2 linked regions of the Drosophila melanogaster genome follow. The protein of the gene in region 1 interacts with the protein of each later gene in a pairwise test. Each region holds a gene or a part of one and is shown on either strand. Other genes may lie near its edges.

Region 1 (3,754 bases):
ACACGCATGTCCCGCACCACCCGCTGCACTTTCCGCCGCCAGTGCCCGCTGCCTTTGCACCCATCACGAATGATTTTGAGCCACACTATATCGGAGAGGCGGCCGAGGGAAAGTCCAACTATAACACGGATGTGATCAGCCACGTATTCTACTTGGGCAATCAACAGGTGGTGCACACCACCTTCAAGGTATATAACGCAGTGCTGTACTACAAGTACTTTGAGCACCTGAAGATGAGCGTGCTGGAGTTGGAATTGGACACACCGGAGTACAACCTAATGATCCTGTTGCCCGACTACCACACGGATATTGTTGCAGCCGCCGCCTCCTTGAAACTGGGACCAACCCTTCGACTGATGCGGAAGCAGTTGAAGCCACGCTGGGTGCAAGCCATCATTCCAGATTTCAAGCTGCACGGCACCATGTTTTTGACAAACGACTTGCAGAATGTATGTATTCATTTGTAGAGTGCATTTTTGTGTTTTTATTGAGGTGTCTTTGGTTTTTGTGCTCTCTGTTGCAGATGGGAATGTAAGCATGGGTGTAATAGCTCCAGTTCCTGGCTTCATTTTACTTTCGTTGCAGCTGCGACGTATTCGAACCAAATCGCGCCGATTTCAGGCCCATGACTGAGGAGAAGGGCGTCTACGTGCGACACATTGAGCAATCCATAGACGTCACCATCCGTACGCATCCCATCAATCAGCTGAAGCGTAAGTGTCTCGCATTGCAGCACACCTGAATGGAATGGAGTGGAGGCATTGAGCCGCAACGCATTGCGAATGCCCAACCTAATGGTGTTGCAACAGTTGCAGCCTCTGCAACACGAGACAAAGTGCAATAAACACTTCCTTTTACTCTCTAGGCAACTACGGCGCCCAATCGAAGCCCATTCAGATCTCTGTGAATCATCCGTTTCTGTTTTTCATCGTCGATCGCGACTTGGACGTGGCTGTGATGTCGGGCCGCATACTGAATCCGCTGAACGTACGCATCCAATGAAGCACGACGAAGGTCGACTATCGAAAGTGATGAACCCTTTGTTCCCGGTGCCTACTAATACGAGATGTTAGCATTGCTTAGATTAAAATGTAAATATACGGGGGTGTCACGAGACTCTGGGCAGATGAAATTTGAATGGAAGTAAAGAAACTTCATACTTAAAATTATCATTAAATTAAACAACATTTGTTGAATATTTTATCTATATAATATTTTTAGAAAACACATCTCGTGACAACCCATTTAATGTAAGCTCACCCCATTAAAGTATAATCCTTAGTCTAACTAGTTCTGTGGGAAATCGGTTTTAGTACTGATACGTTCCAAACACTGTACAGACGCAAAAGAGACTGGTGTTGCTGAAGACCTCGGAGACGGAAGTGTCGCAGTCGCAATCCCAGCAGCAGCGCGAGTTGTAAGTGGCCCCCGCACCCAGCTCCTGGCCTAGCATCACCTGGACCACGTGCTTGTACCGCTTCACCAGGGAGCTGCTGGCTATCTGCTGGTTCACCTCGTCGGCGATCTCACTGGTCCACTTCTTGGCGACGTCCTTGTCATAGGTTTTGTCTTCAAATAGTGAAGTTGCTAGGCAACGCGCAGTATATTTATGGATTTTCACACTAACCTTTGAGTTTCTCGGCCATAACGTTGTTCATTATGCTCTTGATGGTGGGCAGGGGAAACATCTCCCCAAAGGCCGGTCGCATGCTATAGGCGGTGGGCTGGTCGCCGGGCTTTTCCGACTTTTCTTGATTTTCCAAACCATCGGCTGAGCCGGAGTGCAGACTTCCTGACGCCGACTTTTCCGACTTCCTATCCGCTGGGTTGGGCACTGTTAAAGTCTGGACGGATTTGGTTGTTTCCTCAGTGGACTGTTTGTCAGCCATCTTTTGTCAAATTCAGCGTAATTCCCTTTCAAAGTGTTTAAGAAAGCACCAAGAAAATCTTGGTTGCTATGTTTGTTTACTTATTGCTAGTGTTACCAGATGGTAAAATGGCTTTCCCGCCAATCCCTAATTGTCAGTCACCACGAATAACCGAACTTATTTGGTGTGGCCACTTTATAACAACGAAGTGTGGCACCTCTTTCATTTTCTGGATAATTTAAATTTATAATACGCGCCAATATTTTATGTGCGTCAAGTTAGCGTCGATGGCGGAATTTCCCCATTAAAGAACATTTCTTTAAGGACATTTAAGGAAAACTTCACGATAAAGTAGAACTATAAAATCGTCCTTAGGTTTCATAAAATCTTTATTCAATTCAAAATAAATCGAAAAGTTACATAATAAATTCGATAAATATGTTTTTATATATGCAGGTTATAAATAAAGTTACGCAATAATTTAAATGATTTCGTTAGTATACAGTTAATGGTTGCTTTCTCGCTTACATCGCTATGTGTAGGCTCTCGCATTTAGAAAATATTTGTGTGCATCTCTTTGTGTTCACTTTGATTTCGATTGGGGGCAAATGACATAATACATACATGGGTGTGCTGATCGGGAGGATGTGCGGAAGGTGCTTTGTCAAATAAATAATAATACACTCAAACGGTTTACATAGAAATCGACAAACAATCGCTAAGTGAAAATAACCTAAGAAAACTCAAATACACCATTTACATTTGCTCAAAATCACATACCCTTTGCACACGCTCACTACATTACATTAAATAAAAACACAACATATTGCATAGGACATACAAAAATCAGACAGATTTCAGTGGCAACGACTAACAAAACGTACAATTAGGTCGAATACGAAACTAAAGGTATTCGCAAAAACATTCGTAATCCCTACTTTTAAATTGCGAAATTAGTTTTTTGGTTTTGATTTCATCTCTGCCTGTTTTTACATTAACCTTGCGCGCTTCTCCCATATTAGTTAGGCTCTCTACTTATATAAATATTGAAATTGTTCTTAGCCAGCTTATCCACTTTGAATAGTTAGTTGCTCGTTTCGGTTACAGCTCACGGGTTTTAGTATTGTTAATTCTGTATATTCAGCTGCCTTTTTGGTACGCTCTCCCCTGTTCCCTTGTTTCATCTTAAGTATTTAGGCTCAACAGTCCATGCACCACTTCGCAGACCAGCAATCTCCAGGGAAAGTTGGCTATTCAAATCTGAAACAAGTGGTGTTGTCAATTTCAAATTTAAACATATAGGTCCTATTTACTCACGATCGATTCTTCGTGGTCATGCGGTTGTCCCGTCAGCTTAATGCCCGTTGCCTCGGCGGACGTGGATGCTGATCCCGCTGCCGTGAGGTCGAGCTGGGAGGCTGTGGGTCGTAGGGCGGCTCGCTTGGCGACAATTTCCAGCATCTCGTTGAGAATTGCTCCCTCGGCGGCCACATCGGCAGAGCTTTTGTCCAGTTCTGCAATGATGGAATTAAATATTATATCAAAGTTTTGAGAGGAAACTATAACACTCACTGTTGCAGGACAAGCGCAGATTGAGCTCTTCCTTCAGCTGGGCATGCCGATACTCCAGTTGCAGTTCCTGTTGCCTTATAGTCAGTTCCTCATCGCGTTTCCTAAAAACAAAATTACATTAGATTTGTTTATTATAGAGCTTCATTGATTAGCATACTTGAGTGCTGTGATGTTGCGCCAAATCTCCAAAAGTTCCTTAAGTAGCTTCTCGTCGTTGTCCTTTGTCGCATCCAGGCTGTAGAAGAGATTTCATTTAATGGGTATTCAAGGATATAGCCAGATCCTAGCACTCACTTTTCAATATTCTGCGCCTC
Region 2 (3,754 bases), on another chromosome or scaffold:
CTATGTGTGGTGCTGCCGTGGAAACTGTGGCTTTGCTCAGGCTGACCTGGGCTGAAACCGTGTCTGCTGCTGCTGGAGGAGCGGCTCCTGCTCCTTCATTATCTGCCGACGCCTCTGCGGTGGTGTCGCAGGTGTTGGCGGTATTGCCCTTGTTATCGCGGTCTTTGCTTGCTTCAGATGGGGGCGCCGGTGAAGCAGATCGCTCTGAATCGCGATCGCTGGTGACCAGGCCTTCCTCCTCTGAGGACGATTCCAGTTGCACATCGCTTAGGGGCACTGGCTGCACCACATCGGCTATAATGTTCTTCAGGGAATCCGTCGAAATGGCAAGCACGGGCGGGGTACGATCCGAAGACTTTTTGTTAGTCAGCCACTTTCGCTTCCGCACCGACCGTTGTTGCTGCAGAACTGGAGCACCGGTTGTGTTGGTTGCGCTGCTGTTTAGACATGGATCGTGCTTGTCGTTCGAAAGATCTGCTGGTTCATCGTGAATTTGTTCTGGGTTTTCGTCTATCTGCTTGTGGTTTTCCTTGTGTTCCTCCTCCTCTGCGGGTTGCTGTTCCTTTATCTGCTCCTTGTGCCTCTTCTTGGTTTCTCTGCGCTCCGCAGGAGCGGAGGCTTCTTCGTCCCTTTCATCGACCTCTTCTGTCTGAATGTCTAATACATCACTAGTCGTTTTTAGATGTTCCTCATCCTTGCTGGAAGGAGAAGGAACCTTTACCTCTTGTTCTGGCTCGCTCTGCTTGGTGTCATCATCAGTGGAAGTGGGGACCTCCTGCTGCGGTTTTAAGTCCTCTTTCTCAACATCATCATCCTTGACTACAGCGGGTTCAGCACAGGATTCATCGTCTTGAGCCTGCTGATCCTCCGTCTTGGCACGGTCCTCGGACTCGCTCTCATTAGCCGCGGGTGGCGCTACAGTCTTTTCCTCCTCGACAGCGTCCTTTTCAACATCCTTTCCATTCTCCGGCTCCTCCTCGGGTATGGTGTCCACCTTCTTGTCGCCGCCCTTGGACTCCGTGCGCTTTCTAGGCGTCGTCCGGCTGCCGCGACTCCTGCGCACTGGCGATGCTCCAGATCCGGCACGTTCTTCACTGGATGCCCGCGCCTCATTGATTTCTTGAGAGGCTGGCGGTACTTTGGGGCATTCGGCCTCATTATTTTGGGCCACGACCGGAGTCTCGACCTCGGTCTTCTCGTTCTCCGACACCTTGCGGGAGCGGCGACTTCTCCGTGCAACTGCCACCGGCACCGGAGCGGGCGACGACGACTTTTTTCGCTCGCTGCGACGTCTCATGGCTGTCCGAAAATCGCTGGAAACTCGCTGCGACGCTGGAAAGATCTGAAATAAAACGTAGGTACAGCCGGCGGACCCACAGCTATTTCATGCACTGCTTTGCGAATTCACTCCTCGTTATATTCTGCACCTTTTCTTGATAAGAAAAATAATTTTACTAGGCGAAAGAGCGTCAATCCGCCATCAATATACAGGGATGCTTTCTCTCGGTCTATCGCCCCGCTGACGGCTATCGATAGTATCGTATGCGATGGGGGAAGGAAGTACCTTATTACGAAAAACTTTATCAAATGTACTTAAATGTTTTTTATTCGAGATTGTTAATAACTCTACTTATCAATTTATTTTTGTTCGCAGATTTAACTTATGAACGAAATGTTAGGTACCAAAGTTGCCGATAAAGTTTTGTTTGACAGTGTCATCTCTAAAAAATTTAAAAACCTTTGTTTACGAAATCTTAACGAAACATAAATATATTTGCGAAAGTATGATAGAGTAGAAATTATTTAAAAGTCTTCTATGTTCTTAATCAAGCGTTACGAAATGTACTTTTAAAACGTCTTTACCGCGCTTTGCAACACTACATACGTGCTATTTCATAATTTTTAATACCATACCTGCAACATTATAGGTTTTAGTTAAATAATTAATAAAGCCCTAAACATGTTAGTGAGAAATATTTGCAAGTTTACGCAAGTTATGGGCAGGTTCCGCGTTGTCGTGAATCCCAGAGATTACTGTCATCTTGCGCCGCTGAAGAGAAGCCGTTATCACCAACGGTCAGAATTCGGATGTCGACCGCTGTGCTCCAATGCTGCGGGCTACGAGGTGTCCTGGGCAGCTCCGCCCGCTTCTGGCTCTTCCGGTGGAATGTTTTGGGCATTTTCCGCTGCTTTCACTCTGAATCTGTTTGGTGGCGCCGACGAAAAAGAGGAAACTCCGGAGGAAAAACTGATCAAGACCATCAAACGATCAATCCTGTGCATTCAGAGGGAACAGTACGACAAGGCCGAGCAAATGCTTCACCTGGCTCTGCGAATGGCGCAGGATATTCAGAGCAAGGACGGCATCACATATGTGTTTGATCTGATGGCCAATTTGGCCATGGAACGCGAGCAGTTTAAGAAGGCGGAGAAGATATTCACGGACGTTATGAAACGGCTTTTTGCCGAGGGTCACACCGAAGAGAGTCCCAAGGTGGGTGACCCACTTAGACACCATAACCAGTTAAGATCTCTTTCATCTTTAGATACTTCACATCAGCTCCAAGATAGCACACATGTCTCAGCTGCAAGGGGATCTGGAAAAGAGCTTTCAAGGGTTCACTTGGACCTTGCAGCAGTTGGCTAAGCTACTGGAGAAAATGCCCGACGACAAGGACATACTGGAGCTGTATGGCTTGACAAAGAATTGGTATTGAAGGTGTTTCCATTGCCGCTAACCAAGCCTTTTTTCAATACTTTTCCTTATGTTTATTTTCCAGGTTCGGGCAGCTGCTGATGAAGCAGGGAAAATACCTGGAGGCTAAAAACCTCTTTAAGGAGGCCTTCGACACGCTCATAAATGTTTATGGTGCCGTTAACGACGCCTCTGTAACCATCCTAAATAACATCAGTGTGGCGTACGTAAACGTAGGTGCGTCTATTCTTCCAAAGTACTTGAAACACATTAGACTAATTACAGCTGGAAAAGTACGCCGAGGCAAGGGAGACCCTTTTGGAGGCCATGGAGCTGACTAAGGAGCTAAAGGATGCCACCCAGGAAGGCATTCTGCAGGCAAATCTGGGTTTGGTGTATCTTCGCGAGGGCCTGATGTCGCAGGCGGAGAACGCTTGCCGACTGGCGTGGAAACTGGGAAAGCAACACCAGAATCCCGATGCCGTAGAGCAGGCCGAGTATTGTCTCAACGAGATAAAGACAACCCTGAATGGAGAGAAGCGCCAGTGAGGATTCTTTTTACAGTGTAATTTTGACTATTTATAAAAATTTCATTTCGAAGTGAAGCACAAATTTGGAAGGCTTAAAAAATCTTAAATAACGCCGCATTGTTTATATTGGGAACTAATAGCGGTTACTGACTGTTGAAATATAAGAAATTTAAGTAGTTGCTCATCGTTTTGAGTAGGTAACGAACAGAAATCTTTCAAATTGTTTGCGGCACACTTTCAGTACATGCAATTAGATCTTTTTTGTGTTAACTTTCCACAATTTTGATATTACTCGAACTTGGCGATAACGATCATTAGGGCTACGCCGGTTAGCAGCGCAAAGATTTCCTTCAGCGACTGTTTCAGTTTCGTAGACTCCTCAAGCAGCTCCGGCAGGACACTCACTGTTGCGATGTAAATAAAACCGCCGGCTGTGAAGGGCAAGACCCATGGGGCCGATCCGTCCCCGCCTCCAGCTCCCAGAAGAGCTAGCGCTGTGCCCGCCAAAGCTCCGAGCGCTGTGACGAGC

The links.
Region 2: the proteins of CG5359 (region 1) and Ttc19 interact in a two-hybrid assay, tested with the Drosophila melanogaster proteins (one large-scale study listed by BioGRID).

What each region holds. Positions count from the first base shown.
Region 1 is NT_033777.3:9,999,313-10,003,066, forward strand, and holds CG5359 (uncharacterized protein), read right to left. Parts: upstream 1,965-3,754; 5' UTR 1,890-1,964; coding exon 1,628-1,889; intron 1,570-1,627; coding exon 1,310-1,569; 3' UTR 1,261-1,309; exon of another isoform or gene 1,194-1,260; intron 1,057-1,193; 3' UTR 1,003-1,056; coding exon of another isoform or gene 866-1,002; 3' UTR 714-865; coding exon of another isoform or gene 586-713; 3' UTR 532-585; coding exon of another isoform or gene 524-531; 3' UTR 459-523; downstream 1-458. Other genes in the region: Spn85F (serpin 85F), read left to right, coding at 1-449, 524-531, 586-713, 866-1,002; Mical (molecule interacting with CasL), read right to left, coding at 3,123-3,128, 3,186-3,382, 3,441-3,541, 3,598-3,675, 3,735-3,754.
Region 2 is NT_033779.5:19,043,110-19,046,863, reverse strand, and holds Ttc19 (tetratricopeptide repeat domain 19), read left to right. Parts: upstream 1-1,715; 5' UTR 1,716-1,960; coding exon 1,961-2,494; intron 2,495-2,546; coding exon 2,547-2,710; intron 2,711-2,780; coding exon 2,781-2,928; intron 2,929-2,980; coding exon 2,981-3,244; 3' UTR 3,245-3,329; downstream 3,330-3,754. Other genes in the region: Acn (acinus), read right to left, coding at 1-1,297; Catsup (catecholamines up), read right to left, coding at 3,514-3,754. UniProt on the Drosophila melanogaster protein: Required for mitochondrial complex III formation.